Regions from separate parts of the Mus musculus genome. Here all the other regions are reported to be linked to region 3. The links are microRNA targets in miRTarBase. Many come from high-throughput screens and were not tested one by one. Region 3 holds a microRNA gene; each other region holds the end of a gene's coding sequence.

What was found. The annotated mature microRNA mmu-miR-297a-5p reads AUGUAUGUGUGCAUGUGCAUGU and lies in region 3 at 1,436-1,457, shown strand. An mRNA with a match to its seed (bases 2 to 7 or 8) in the 3' UTR can be bound and repressed. Matches are read on the target gene's strand: a 7mer-m8 pairs with bases 2 to 8, a 7mer-A1 pairs with bases 2 to 7 and ends in A, and an 8mer does both.
Region 1: the mRNA of Syngr3 is a reported target of mmu-miR-297a-5p. The part of its 3' UTR that is shown has no 7-base or 8-base seed match.
Region 2: miRTarBase lists Il18r1 as a target of mmu-miR-297a-5p. Seed matches in the 3' UTR shown: 7mer-m8 at 1,586-1,592, 7mer-m8 at 1,590-1,596, 8mer at 1,594-1,601, 8mer at 1,608-1,615, 8mer at 1,662-1,669, 7mer-m8 at 1,670-1,676 and 3 more.
Region 4: the mRNA of Cyria is a reported target of mmu-miR-297a-5p. Seed matches in the 3' UTR shown: 7mer-A1 at 1,507-1,513, 7mer-m8 at 651-657, 7mer-m8 at 647-653, 7mer-m8 at 643-649, 7mer-m8 at 639-645, 7mer-m8 at 635-641 and 1 more.

What each region holds. Positions count from the first base shown.
Region 1 is chr17:24,683,157-24,686,841 of GRCm38, reverse strand. Syngr3 (synaptogyrin 3) reads left to right here. Exons shown (of 4, transcript NM_011522.3): 3 at 181-323; 4 at 402-1,750. The coding sequence ends at 611. Among named protein-coding and RNA genes, the nearest start is that of Syngr3, 5.0 kb to the left of the region's middle.
Region 2 is chr1:40,498,485-40,502,150 of GRCm38, forward strand. It overlaps Il18r1 (interleukin 18 receptor 1), which reads left to right. Exons shown (of 11, transcript NM_008365.2): 11 at 1-2,370. The coding sequence ends at 206. Among named protein-coding and RNA genes, the nearest start is that of Il18rap, 15 kb to the right of the region's middle.
Region 3 is chr2:10,515,642-10,519,326 of GRCm38, forward strand. It overlaps Mir297a-4 (microRNA 297a-4), which reads left to right and starts at 1,426; the gene lies at 1,426-1,523. The region is part of intron 10 of Sfmbt2 (Scm-like with four mbt domains 2); the gene reads left to right. Mir466l (microRNA 466l) reads left to right here and starts at 456; the gene lies at 456-576. It overlaps Mir669i (microRNA 669i), which reads left to right and starts at 1,963; the gene lies at 1,963-2,089. It also overlaps Mir669h and Mir297a-3.
Region 4 is chr12:12,372,146-12,375,830 of GRCm38, reverse strand. It overlaps Cyria (CYFIP related Rac1 interactor A), which reads right to left. Exons shown (of 12, transcript NM_001146119.2): 12 at 1-3,084. The coding sequence ends at 3,021. 4921511I17Rik (RIKEN cDNA 4921511I17 gene) reads left to right here. Exons shown (of 5, transcript NR_045829.1): 3 at 2,747-2,830. Among named protein-coding and RNA genes, the nearest start is that of 4921511I17Rik, 18 kb to the left of the region's middle.

The sequences.
Region 1 (3,685 bases), not on the chromosome of region 3:
AGGACTAGAGAAAGAGGTGGCTGATGGGCGGAGTAAGGCTGGGCTTCGAAGGGGGCGGGGCTTTGGAGGTCATGTGAATGGCAATTTGCTGGTGAACCTAAGGGACATTGCACTTTCTCTGAATGCGCGAGGTGGGTCCTGTTGGCGGAGCACTATCTGATCATCAGCTCCCACCTGCAGGGGTCTGGTCCTTCCTGTGGTTCGTAGGCTTCTGTTTCCTCACCAATCAGTGGCAACGAACAACGCCAGGGCCAGGCACCGCGCAGGCTGGAGATGCGGCGCGTGCTGCCATCGCTTTCAGCTTCTTCTCCATCCTCAGCTGGGTGAGTGAGGGACCCGTGGGTGGCAGGGTTGGGGGTGTCTCCAGGTTTTCCCCAGCTGACCCTGATTCCCTCACCCAGGTGGCGCTCACCGTGAAGGCCCTGCAGCGGTTCCGCCTAGGCACCGATATGTCTCTCTTTGCCACAGATCAGCTAGGTACTGGGGCTGCCCAGGCCTACCCAGGCTACCCAGTGGGCAGTGGTGTGGAGGGTACAGAAACATACCAGAGCCCGCCCTTCACTGAGACCCTGGACACCAGCTCCAAAGGGTACCAGGTGCCTGCCTATTAGTAGGTGTTAGGCTCCGGCCAGGGCTGGAAGGCCACCTCACCACCGTAGGCCTCAAGGCCTCCTGAGACCTTTTCTGGGTCCTACCGTGCCAAGGACAGAGAAGGTGGCCACTATGGGCCTCTGGGACCAAGGGGAGTAGCCTCCCTGGTGCCTGGACTGTCCCCACAAAGTTCCCCCCTAGCCAGAGATCTCAGTCTTAAGGCCCTGAGAAGAAAACTACTTCTTGGAGTGGACTGGCCTGGGAGGCATTCCTTTTATGGGCCAGCCAACCAGGGACTCACCTGTCCACTCTAGGTCAGAAGTCCAGCTGCCTCCCAGCTCAGGGTGCAAGGGCTCTGGGGACCAGGGAGAGGGAGACTAATTGTACCCTTAGGTGGGGATTATGGCCCTTGTTCCCAGTCCCATGTCCCTGGCTCCACATGGTGGTCCACCCTGTCCAGAGGCTCCCTCCCCTCCTCTTACAGGATCCCTAGAGCAGCTCAGCCCTGTCGGTGTCGTGATTGTGATTAAGTCTTCAGGTCTCATCTCATAGTGCCCCCATAAGCCGCCCCTCTCTGTGTGGCTCCTGCCCAGGTGTTTCTGGCCAGGAAGGTATAGACAACTATGGGCCTGGGCACCCGCCCTTCAGTAAGACCTTCCCTAGGGAACAGACAGCTGGGTACCTGGGTGCCAGGCAAGACAAGACTCTTACAAGGAGAGGACTAAAGGTCTCATCTGCCCAGGGTGTCACTGGAGAGTCGTTCCTGTAAATGGCTTAACCTTGGCTTCCTGAACCAGTCCCTCCCTAGTCTATCTTCTATCCCCTTTTAAGGCCCAGACCAGGTGTGGGTCCTTGTGCATAGCAGACTACTCATACATTGCTTGAAGCTGGCTTTTCACATCAAGTCAAAACCAAACTCGTTGCCATGTCTCATTCTTCCAGACAAAATGCCTCCCTGTGGAGTTGCAGTTGAATGACAACCCTGTACGTTGTAGCATAGACCAATCATGTGGATATTTAAGTGAACATGTTTACAATTTTTGTATATATGGATCTATTCCTTTTCCTCTGAAAGAACAATCCATGATTGTGTATTTTCAGTGTCCCCTGTTACAACTGCAACTTCTTTACAATAAAGACTGTACGTGCATTGACCATCAGTAAGGTCCCCTGGACTTATTCTTTGTCCCTTTCCCTCCTGTGTTGGGGGCTGCAGTCTCAGGGCATCAGGGCCCATAAATCAGGAGTGGAGGAGTAGGAAGGTGGGGATCAGGCTGATTCCCAGGTTCTCGAGAAAGACCACACAACTATGATTCCTTAACGGAGCACATTGCTCGGGTGAAGTGTGCCGCTCCATGCAGGCTTGGCTCTGAAATGCTGCAGACCTCTGCTCTTTTATCCTTTTTCTTTCTTCCTCTTTCTTTTTTTGATGTAATCTGTGATTTGGTTTGTTTCTTTTGTTCTCTCTCTCTCTCTCTCTCTCTCTCTCTCTCTCTCTCTCTCTCTCTCTCTCTCTTTTCGGGACAGGGTTTCTCTGTGAGTTCTCTAGAACTCACTTTGTAGACCAGGTTGGCCTCGAACTCAGAAATCCGCCTGCCTCTGCCTCCCGAGTGTGCCACTACGCCTGGTTTACCCCACCCCTTTAAAAAAGTTTCTCTGTAGCCCTGGTTGTCTTGGAACTCACTTTGTAGACCAGGCTGGCCTTGAACTCAGAAATCCGCCTGCCTCTGCCTCCTGAGTCCTGGACTAAAGGCGTGCGCCACCACTGCCTGGCTTGTCAGGCGTTATTGATGCTATGGAGCTGTTCAGACCTGGCCCATGTGAATACTCCAGTGTTCAGTCTAAGACCAGATTGATGGTAAGATCTGTAGGATATATGGGCACCCAGGGGATGAGCCTCCCGTCTCATTACTTTATAGGGGTCACAGTCATAAGTTCCTGACTCTATTTGATCTTTGTAGCATTTCCCAGTTCCCTGGGGCTCCCTCCTCAGTCCTCTGTTAAAAAAGCTAGACAGTGGTGGCACACGCCTTTAATTCCAGCACTCAGGAGGCAAAGGCAGGCGGATTTCTGAGTTCAAGGCCAGCCTGGTCTACAGTGTGAGTTCCAAGACAGCCAGGGCTACACAGAGAAACCCTGTCTCGGAAAAAAAAAAAAGTTATCCTGGTCTACAGAACAAAATAAAAACAAAACAAAAAACGGGAAAGAAAAGAAAGCTAGATTTTGTCTTTAGCCATATTATCTCAAACACATCTTGGAAGGTAAGCAGGGTTGGGTCTGATTAGTTCTTAGATAGGAGAAAACTAGGCTTCTCTATTTACCCCGCTCTGTATTCAAACCATGATTACCCTATGACAGCTCCATCCAGGAGAGGAAGGATCCTTCCTTTCAGATACGTAGACATCACCAGGCCTCTGACACTGTCCTGTCCCTCCCTACCAGGATAATTTGCTGCTTCCTTCTCTCTCTCTCTCTCTCTCTCTCTCTCTCTCTCTCTCTCTTTCTCTTGCTCATCAATGGTGGTGCATGCCTTTAATTCCAGCAGGCAGATCTCTCAGTTCAAGGCCAGCCTAGTCTACAGAACCAGTTCCAGGACAGCCTGGGCTATATAGAGAAACCCTGTCTTGAAAAACAAAACTTAAAAAAAAAAAAAAGGAAAAAGAAAAACAAAACTAAAAATGAATAAATAGGGCTGGGCTGGAGAGATGGCTCAGCAGATAAGAGCACTGACTGCTCTTCAGAAGGTCCTGAGTTCAAATCCCAGCAACCACATGGTGACTCACAACCATCTGTAATGAGATTGGATACACTCTTCTGGTGTGTCTGAAGACAGCTACAGTATACTTACAATAAATAAATAAATCTTTAAAACAAAACAAAAAAAAACACCTCCAGTTCAAAGTGATCCAGGGTTATCTTTTGGCTTTCCTGGATACCACCCACCCACCCCCATGATACATACGCATGCAGGCAAAACATTCATACATGTAAAATAAAGGTTTTTTTTTTGTTTGTTTGTTTGTTTGAGACAGGATTTCTCTGTGTAGCCCTGGCTGTCCTGGAACTCACTTTGTAGACCAGGCTGGCCTCGAAC
Region 2 (3,666 bases), not on the chromosome of region 3:
TAATTGAGTTTACTCCAGCCAGCAACATCACCTTTCTCCCCCCGTCGCTGAAACTCCTGAAGTCCTACAGAGTTCTAAAATGGAGGGCTGACAGTCCCTCCATGAACTCAAGGTTCTGGAAGAATCTTGTTTACCTGATGCCCGCAAAAGCCGTCAAGCCATGGAGAGAGGAGTCGGAGGCGCGGTCTGTTCTCTCAGCACCTTGAGCTCCAGACGAGCTTGATGTCAAAAGCAAGTGAAGCGCTGCTAGAGGTCATGCGTGTGCCTATTCACAGCGGTAGCTGTGGTTCAAAAGGCTGAATTTTGTGACTATACCCCCCACTCCCAGTTAGGAGAGTTGTCATCGGGTCATCACAGATGAAACAGAGCCTTGGTTGTGATCCTGAACTCGCAGAGGGGGCCTTGGGATTCACAAGAAATCAGTTTGTTATTCTTTCTTCCTCTGGAGCAGTGATTCCCAACCTGTGGGTTGTGGCCCCTTTGGCAAACCTTTATCTCCAAAATAGATGTACGCTATGATTCATAACTGTAGCCAACTCACAGTTACAAAGTAGCAACGAAAAAAGTTTTATGGTTGGGGGTTTCACCACAGTGTGAAGAACTGTATTAAAGGGTTGAAGCATTAGGAAGGTTGAGAACCGCTGGCCTAGAGCTGTCTGCATACCGTTCCATTCAGCCAAGATGGAGGTAGGCTGGCAAACTGATTTATGCCCCTAAATAAGGCACCTCTTCAGAATTTTTCAACTAACAGTGGATTCCAACTGGAGAATTTTATGCGCTCCGAGGCATTTTCTATGAGCCAATCTTTACTGCATCTCAAGGGTACATGGCTCTCTCCCAGGCTTGGGAGGTGCAAGAGGTGAGAGAAAAAGCTGGAAACACAAGAGAAATGGGATGAGAGAAAGCTCCAGGAACTTGGCTTCAGGATGAGTTTGGTGTTGCAAGGTAGTTCTTAGAAAGTCAGTCAGACGTCAAGCAGGACTTCCTTGTTTCTTCAACCTTTTCGTACATCCTTTGAAATGGAACCTGCGATATCGTTTATTGCAGACAGAAGTTTAAATTCAGAGAACTCAGTGGGCCTTTCAACTTTAGTGGCTTTAAGTTTTTGTTGGCTTTGTGTAAATGTTTATCTGTAGGATCATACTAGCTGCTAAACTGTAGCAAACAATCAACAAATGCTTGCTGTTTTTATGAGCCAATTCTGGTGCCCTGGGCATGCAGGCAGTTTTGGTGTGGCAGTTGACGGTGTGGTATGTGCAGCCAAATTTGATGGACAATCTTGGATTTTGTGAGCTCTGGAATTTTATCCAACTTCTCATACTTCAGTTTACTCATTTCTAAAATCAGAGTTTAAAGTAAATACAGCTAGTTCCCAAGGGCACTAAAGACTACTCTGTAAACATGGCTCTTATTGTTGATGGCAGTAACTGCTCTCATTCATTGGCTCAGTGATTCCACAGTAGAGGGAATGGGAGCCAGAGAGCAGGTTGGGAAATGGGTCTACAAATAGGAGCAACAAGTGGAGAGGGCAGAGGAGAAACATAGCAGTAGAAGAAACACAATATACATAAGCATACACACATAAACATACATACATACAAAAACACACATACAAACAGAAACACACATAAACACAAACATAGAACCGCACACACAGAAACACATACAAACATACATACACACACATACACACACACACACACACACACACACACACACACACACACACACAACACCTCCTGCTGAAATATGCATCTCTCGGCACTGGAAGATACTTTTGTTTCTCTAAAGAGAGTTGTCACACTGGGGCCTCCTCCATGGTTCAAAACAGTAGCTGTCTGTGGGAATTGCCCCCCGCTCCCATGTGTGTGTGTGTGTGTGTGTGTGTGTGTGTGTGTGTGTGTCTGTCTGTCTGTGTGTGTGTAGGTGTATGCTACCCTTGCATAAAAAAGAAGATTCAGAGAAGCCCAAAGCTTCTTGTGACCTTGCAAGTGCCTGAGTGAAGCAAGAATATTCTAGGGAAGTCTAGAGCAGAGACTGTGCTGAACAAACACAGTAGATTTTAGGAAAACCAAACCAAACCAAATGAAAGGAAAGGAAACAGAAAAAAAAACAAGAAGAATGGGGATTCTTAAGTAATTTTTGTAACTCATGACTTCATGTGCTATTTGACTGACTTGAGAAAAGAAGGTAAATTCATTCAACATCTGCTGTCACAACAGCTGTGTGTGAAAACCTAGCATCAGAAGAGAGTTGGGAGAGTTTGAGACTTCGCTTTGTTCTTCTATCAGCCAAGCTTCGACACATGAAGTTTATTTTATATGAAATATATTTTGTATTAAATCTGCCAAATACATACATTAGACTGGAGATGTCTCTTGATGTCCTTTTCATTTGTCCTGAGGTTTCTTGACATCCTTTTCCTTTGTTTTGGTGAACACTGCACTGCCTGGTTTTCACCATGGATCCCCACCTGCTGTAAGGAGCTGAGGGAAATTTAATACAGCCCATCTGCAACTATCGCTTTAAAATCCTGTGTGTATATTTTTGAAAAATTTACTCTTTAAGAACGTCATATTTTATACAGTGAAATATTATACCCACACCCATTCTCTCTTGCCACCTCTCCCCAACATGTACCCCACGTAATTATCGCCCTCAGTTTTGAAATAACCTAAGTCCAGTTAGTGTTTCCTGTAGATGCAGCATGGGGCCACCCACTAGAACATGCACACACTAACTAGGAACCACAATTACAAAGAAGACCGATTCTATCTCCCCCAGCAGCTATCATCTGCCAACAGTTAGAGCCAGAAACCTCATGACATCTTTCCCATGGATGCTGCAGTGTTGGCTGGTTTGGTCTTGTGCTGCTGTGCAATCTCCAGCTCTCCCATTCTTCCTGCCTCCTCTTCCAGGATGGCCCCTGAGCTTTGGCAGGAGGCAAGGTGGAGCTAACAAAGATGTCTAATCAGGGCTGAGCACTCAGATTCACTTGCTCTCAGAACTTTGATCTGTTACGAGTCTTTCTTTGCATTGACTGCCACTCACCGAAAAAAAAAAGAGAAAGCTTTTTTAATCAAGGCTGAGAGAAGCCAAGGTCCACAGGCATAAACATAGACACTTAAAAGGAGTTTTGACAATATTGGCACTTAGCAACTTAACAATAGTTGGTCCCACCCTACGTGCTATGCTAGCCTTGGCCTTGTGACCATGTTGATAATATCAGGTATGACTTCCCTCCTGTGATTGCACAAGAACATCCTCAAGTACAAGCTGGATGTGGTTGGTTACAGCAAACACTCAGGCCACTAATGGCATTAGGCGTGGCTCAGAATAGGGAAAGAGCAAGGGGTTGTTCAGGGCTCCTTATACGCCATTCAGCTTGGGGTAAAAAGACAAAGCCAGATGAAAGCATTTCCTAAGTGAGACATGACTCTACATAGTATCCCCAAGATACATGGAGGGAAGACTAGAGAGGCGACGATCAGTGACAAGGCAGCCAAGGGACTCACTGAAGTGTGAGTGTGGGTGGAGGCTGCTGGGAAGGATCTCAGGAGCTACCGGCTCCTGAAGTGTGGCTCTGAAGAAGAAATGAAAGCTAGGGAAAATCATATTTTCAAGAAGGAACTTCCATGCGTGTGTGATCTCTAGCACAGTGCAGCG
Region 3 (3,685 bases):
TTTTAAATGACATGTGACTTAAAGTTTTAGAGATTATGCAGGGCTGGATCAGTGGGTGCTCTCACTCACAAGGTGAAAATGCTTGCCAGAGTCAGGAGGATCAGGAGTGGAAATTCATTCTCAAATTCATGAGTCCAGGATCAGCTTCGGATTCTAGTGATGCCCCCAGTGTATGTGCCTGTGTGTATATGTATGTGTGCATGTGCATGTGTGTATATGAATATACATATACATACACACATACCCATACAAACATGCACACAAACACACAGAAAATTGACACTCATCGATCCATTTCAATGATATGTGAGTCTTAGAGATTCTGTATGACTGGGCCACAGAGAGGTCTCACTCACCAGGTGACGCCCCTTGCCAGAGCCAGGATGATCAGGAGTGCAAATTCATGTTCACTGCATGATGAGGTAGAGATCAACCTGGCATTCATGTGATGACCCCTATGTATGTGCATGTGTGTTTGTGTGTACATGTACATGTATATATATATTGATATACATATAAATACATGCACACATATTCATGCATGCACACGCACACATTAATGGCACTCTTAGATCCATTTGAATAACATGTGACTTAGAGGTGAGAGATTATGCAGTACGGGGACAGTGAGTGTTCTCACTCATCAGGTGTAGACAACTGCCAGAGTCAGGTCTATCAGGAGCTTAAATGCATGCTTACACTCATGAGGACTTAGAGATCAGCCTGTGATTTATGTGATTCCCCCCATGCATGTGAACGTGTGTATAGTTGTGTGTGCATGTGTGTATATGAATATATATAACATCCACACATGTATAAATGCAAGCACAGAAACACACAAACATAGGAATGGTACTCATCGATCCATTTGAATGATATATGACTTAGAGTTTTAGAGATTATGCAGTAGAGGGACAGTGAATGGTCTCAATCACCAGGTGTAAATGATTGACAAAGTCAGGAGGATCAGGAGTTCAAACTCCATTTAGAGATCATCCTGGTATTCATTTGATGCCACCCATGTATGTGCACGTGTGCTTACATGTGTGTGCATGTTCATGAATGTATATGGATATGCATGTGCAGACACACACACACATGCAACACACACACAAACACATGGTGACTTGCATTCATCTACTTGCATAATATGTGACTAAGAGTTTTAAAGATTATGCAGTACTGTGCCCGTGCATGCTCTTACTCAACAGGTCAAAGTGCTTGCCAGAGTCAGGCCTTAAAGGTATGTGACTTAGAGTTTGAGAGATTATGCAGGGCTGGATCAGTGGGTGCTCTCACTCACAAGGTGAAAATGCTTGCCAGAGTCAGGAGGATCAGGAGTGGAAATTCATTCTCAAATTCATGATTAGGTAGGGATCAGCTTCAGATTCATGTGATGGCGCCCCCCCCCCCCAGTGTATGTGCCTGTGTGTATATGTATGTGTGCATGTGCATGTGTGTATATGAGTATACATATACATACACACATACCCATACAAGCATGCACACAAATACACGCAAAATCGCCACTCATGGATCCATTTGAATGATATGTGACTTAGTCTTAGAGGTTCTGTATGACTGGGCCAGTGCGTGATCTCACTCACCGGGTGAATAATCCTTCCAGAGTCAGGAGGATCAGGAATTCGAATTCATGCTTAACTTCATAATGAGTTAGAGATCAGATGCGATTCGTGTGATGCCCACCAAAAATGTGCATGGGTGTATAGTTGTGTGCATATTCATTTCTCTATATGAATATGCATATACACGCAAGCACACACAGGAATGGCACTCATATATCCTTTTGAATGGTATGTGACTTAGAGCTTTAGAGTTTATCCAGTAACGGACCAGAGCTATGTCTCAGTTAGGAGGTGAGTATTCTTGCCAGAGTCAGGAGGATCAGGAGGTCTAATTTATGTTTAACTTCCTGATGAGTTAGAGATCATCCTGGCATTCATGTGATGCCCACCAATAATGTGCATGTGTGTATAGTTGTGTGCATATTCATTTCTCTATATGACTATGCATATACACACATGCATACAAACTCACATACAGGAATGACAGTCATATATCCTTTTGAATGATATGTGACTCAGAGCTTTAGAGCTTATGCAGTACTGGGCCAGAGCTATGCCTCAGTTAGGAGGTGGATACTCTTTCCAGAGTCAGGAGGATACGGAGTTCAAATTCATGTTTAACTTCATGATGAGTTAGAGATCAGCCTGGAATTCATTTGATTGTCCTTGTGTATGTGTATATATGTGTAGGTAAGTGTGCTTGTACATGCATGTATATGAACATACACACACACATACATATACACATAAGAATGGCAGTCATAGATCTGTTTGATTTATATGTGCTTAGAGTTTTATAGAGTGTATAATTATGGGTCAGTGTTACATCTAACTCACCAGGTGAAAACCACTTGCCAGAGTTAGAAGGATCAGGAATTTAAATTCATGCTTAACTTCCTGATAAGTTTGTGATCATCCTGGCATTCATGTGATGCCCACCAAAAATATGCATGGGTGTATAGTTGAGTGCATATTCATTTCTCTATATGAATATGCATATACACACATGCACACACACACACACTCACACACAGGAATGACACTCGTTTATCCTTTTGAATGGTATGTGACTCAGAGCTTTAGAGCTTATGCAGTACTGGGCCAGAGCTATGTCTCAGTTAGGAGGTGAATACTCTTGCCAGCGTCAGGAGGTCCTGGAGTTCAAATTCATGTTTCACTTCATGATGAGTTAGAGATCAGCATGCGATTCATGTGATGCCCTCCCCCATGTATGTGCATGGGTTCATACTTATGTGTGCATGTAAATGTATGTATATGAATGTTCACATACATATACATAAACACACACACTGGCATTCACCTACACGCACATTAGTGGCTCTGATCGATCTATTTGAATGAGATGTGACTCAGAGCTTTAGAGCTTATGCAGAACGGATCCAGGGCTAGTTCTCCCTCCAGGTGAAAATGGCTTCTGTGGAAACCTGACAGCCTGAGTTGGATCTCTGGAACTCAGCACACAGGCAGGCTATGGTGTGATTCTTTTGGTTTTTCGTACACCTGATGATTTTCTTTGAGTTTTCAGATTGCAATATATCTTAATTTAAAATTTATCGTTCATCTGGCTCGGGAGACTGGAATACCTCCCTCATTAATAGCTGTCTTCTCTTTCATTCTCTATGAAAAAGGTCACTTTTAATTGAATGGGGTTAAGAGGTAAAGCTGGGTTGCTCTTAATATTGAAAACATTTCTGGTCGTTAAAAACTAAGAATCCTTTTGCTTATTTAATAATTCTTTAAGAATTTTTTTAAAGTGTTGTTTTTCCCTGTCAACACTTGATATTTATATGATATTAGAGTCTATTTTTGGTGATATCTTTGTCTCCTAACATAATTCAAACTAGAATGCTGTGCTTGCTTTTACACAGAGAAGTGCTTTAATTGTTGTACGAAATGTGTCCCAGCCTAATTCTTTTTCTGTAAGAAGCAGCGTTGTGGCTAGTGTTCAGGTCAAATGGACTCTCTGGTTCCTCTGCCCTTGCCTAAGGTTCTGTTGTTTTTCTGCAGTATTCCCTGATCGTAAATAAGAAGAACTCATGGGAATGCATGAATGCCTACTGTTTTAAATGACCTTGGAG
Region 4 (3,685 bases), not on the chromosome of region 3:
CTATTGTGTCATCACAAATAAAAATTTCTCTTTCCACCCAACTTTTGCTGTGAAAGCCTAGGTGAACCTCAGAGAAGCGACCATGCCAAAAGCAGCAACATGGCTGGGAAACCTCATTTTTACCTTCTTTCTTGCTTCAAATTAATTATCTGAGTTATAGAAAACACTTTACTTGAAAGCTATAAGATATCAATTATGAAGTATTATTAACATCGACATCATTGCTGGTACTTTTTCCCAAACAACCCGTGAGTGTTGGATAAATGTGCATGCAGCACGAAAGAGAAAAAAGGGGAAGAAAACCCAAATTGTTCAAGGATTCCCGATACCTACTGGACAGTCTGTTAAGAGTATTGGTCTCCCACCACAGTTCTGGAGTGGACTCAAGGCCCACTCCCTGTTAGTGATCACAGACACTCAGTCTGTCCCCCTGATGACCTGAGGCTATTATTTAGAGCCTGGGCTTCTCAAAATCCAAGTCCTGTTGAGTCTCATCTTGGAGATACTGGACTGGCTAGACTGAAGCAGACTGACAGCACCCATACACACATTTGGTCCCATTTAATAGAAAGTCTAACTAAGAGTTACAAATGTCCTAAGCTATTATTTATTTATTTATTTATTTATTTATGTATGTATGTATGTATGTATGTATGTATATTCTGACAGTTAATCCCTAATGTTTCCTTATGTAGCCAGCTGAGAGGCAGCTATGGTGTAGATACGTGGCTTGGGTTCATGGCTCAGGTCTGTGTCTAAGAGCCCAATAGAAACTGGGCAGTTCTTTGTTCTTTGAAATCCTAATCTCCTCTGTTGAGGAAAGAGCAAATGGACAAATGCTTATTGTGCATCTCTGCTCTTGTAGGCGTGAGAGTTGCCCAAATAAGCATTGCCTATGGCTGCCAAATAGAAAATCCCTAAAGCTGAACACTGGAGAATGTCTTACTGCCACAGGATTGTGTTTTCTAGCTTCCTCGAGATTTTGGAATTTCTAGGTTTGACAAGATCATGGAAGCCATCTAGCACAACTCTTAGAGAATGCTTAGGCCAGTCAATGGCCACATTTACTCTGCTGGTAACGCTCCAAGTGACAAAGTCTTTATGCTCGCTGTTGACTATGCTAACATAAGCTGGGGAACTGGTTCTCCCATTTGTCTGCATTTGGTTTTTTGAAATGAACCAAGTATCATCTTTCTTGGAGGACTCAAAGGAATGCTGGATGGCCACCTTAGTCTGGAAGTATTGCCTTGGGATGTTGCAAACCAAATAATACCACACCCTAATCATCCTAGACCTGACTTCCAGGATTATCATTCATTCAGTTGTCTGGAAAATTCTCTCCTTCTAGCAGAGATTTACAAGTAATCAAACAGGCTAGACTAAAAACTTCTCTACAGTGGTCCATAGACTCCATAGTATATATTCTTAGGCCACATGGTGATCAGGAAGAGTATAGTAGAGTCAGGTGGGAAACACTCAAGGATTTAGTTCTACGTACAACTCACCTTGTATGCCCATATCTTTTCATTGGAGGTCAGAATATGTTTCAAGATTCCATCCTAGCTCAGTTCTGACCTATAGGCAGAATGATTGCAGTCCTGAAGATATTGATATTCATCAAGATGGGTGGGGTAGTACTCATTGGATTTATGCATGAAGAAAGGTTAGTGTAGTGGCTCCTAGTAGCCTTCCATTTTAGATTTAAAAAAAAGATTTATCTTATTTCATGTGTCTCAGTATTTTTTTCTGCATGTATATAAGTGTACTGTGTGCATGCCTGATGCCCATAGAGATCAGAAGAGGGCACTGGATCCCATGCATCGGGAGTATTGGATAGTTGTGGGCCACTGAGTGGGTGCTGGGAATCCAATCCAGGTCCTCTGCAACAGCAACAGGTACTCTTAACCACTGAGCCATATGATGAAGGTGAGACAAAAAGTGAATTTGCCGAAGTACTCAGACTAGTGGGGGCTGACTCCAGGTAATTAGAAATCGTAGATTTCCTCTCTCTAAATTCCTCCAGTTTTCTGATAATGAACGAAGTGCTTTAGTTCTCAGCTCTGATATGAACAGTCCATTTTGATACAGAATGGGAGCTCCCATATTAAGACGGGTGGTGTACCTAGAACTCTGCAGACTCCTGGGAGGTGACTGATCTTAGTTATGATATCACAACCAGAGTTCCATTTATCTGTCCCTGCAGGCAGAGGGTTGACACAGATAAGACTGTCCTTATGCCAACTCTCTCTCTCTCTCTTTCTCTCTAATATTCTTTTTTAAAAAAAGAAATAATATTCTTAAGATAGTCACTTTTCTCAATTCTCCTGCAAGAAGCCCTCTGTCCATCCCATAGCCTCCTCATTAGCTGATTAAAACACAGACAATTTTCCTCTTGCAAATACTAAAAGGGAATGAAAGGGACACAAACCGAGACAGAAGGAGAATATTCAGATTAATAAAACACGTGCATATAGAAAAGCTGCACGTGAGGTTTGCAGGCGGCAGGAAGAGGGTGGGGGACGTGCTGAACTCAGAACTCTTGTGCGCCGCTCTCCACATGCAGTTTTCTTATCTTGGATCTTCTCTCTCTGTTCTCTGTCAGGGTAACAGTTGTGTGTGTTTCTTGTATCTGAGCCGACACAGGAAATCAAGTACTTTGTGTTTCTATAAACTATACTCCCAGAGAGATAAAACATCTAGAATTAAAACCATACCACAAGCGATTAAGAATTTCTGATTGTTACAGGTATCACTACAGGACTCCAGCAGCCAAGGTTGAAGTTTCCGAATCTGGCCCTTGGTGAAAGGAGTTTCGCTTCAGACATCAAAGGTAAGGCGCTCAAGTCAATTTATGCTCGGCTGGGTTGAATCAGTCAGGATACAAATTCAGGTCCATATATTTCAGTGACAAGAAGGAAATGGTTATGTAAATACACAAGTATTAACATCAATCTGTATTAAATTATGTAAACATCTACATCTTCTGAGGTCAGCATAGATCCTCCTCTCTGAGCAGGCCTCTACTGAAGCATCGCTCGAATCTGTTTGGAAGTCGATTCATCATTCAAGTGCTTTGTGGTGAACCTGAATGGGGAAAGAGAGTTTCATGTCAGGGCTTGCCCATTTGAAATTTGTAAATCCAACAGTGCGTGCTCGTTTCCTTAGAGAAGGACCCATAGGTTGGTTCTCATTCTATATACTTTCTGCAAGTTTTTATTTGACTTAGATTGGTTTTACTCTATGCTCCAGATTGACTCTCTGTAACCCATGATGGCCTTAAACTCAGGGAAATCCTCCTGTCTCAGCCTCCCTATTGCTGAGATCAAAGGCATACACCACAATGCTAAGCTTCTAATGAGCTTGTGTGATGATTATTAAAATCATTTTTTTAAAAATCTCATTAGATGACTACGCAAAGGGGACAAACTGATCTCATTTTCTCAGAGATAAAGTTCACAGCGCTTAGTTCAGCATCTTGTTCTTCGAGGCTGAGCAATTATGGCATCCAGAAATTTAGATGTTGCTGTCTATCTACTGTAGGAGCTGTACATCCTCCACTGCTGCTAGGGGCCACAAGTGAGGTACACAAACAAAAGTGCAATCTAAAGCATCTTATTCATTACTCAATCTCATGTGCAAAGGAATGCTAAAAAAAAAAAAAAAAAAAAGACAAAACCCTGTAATA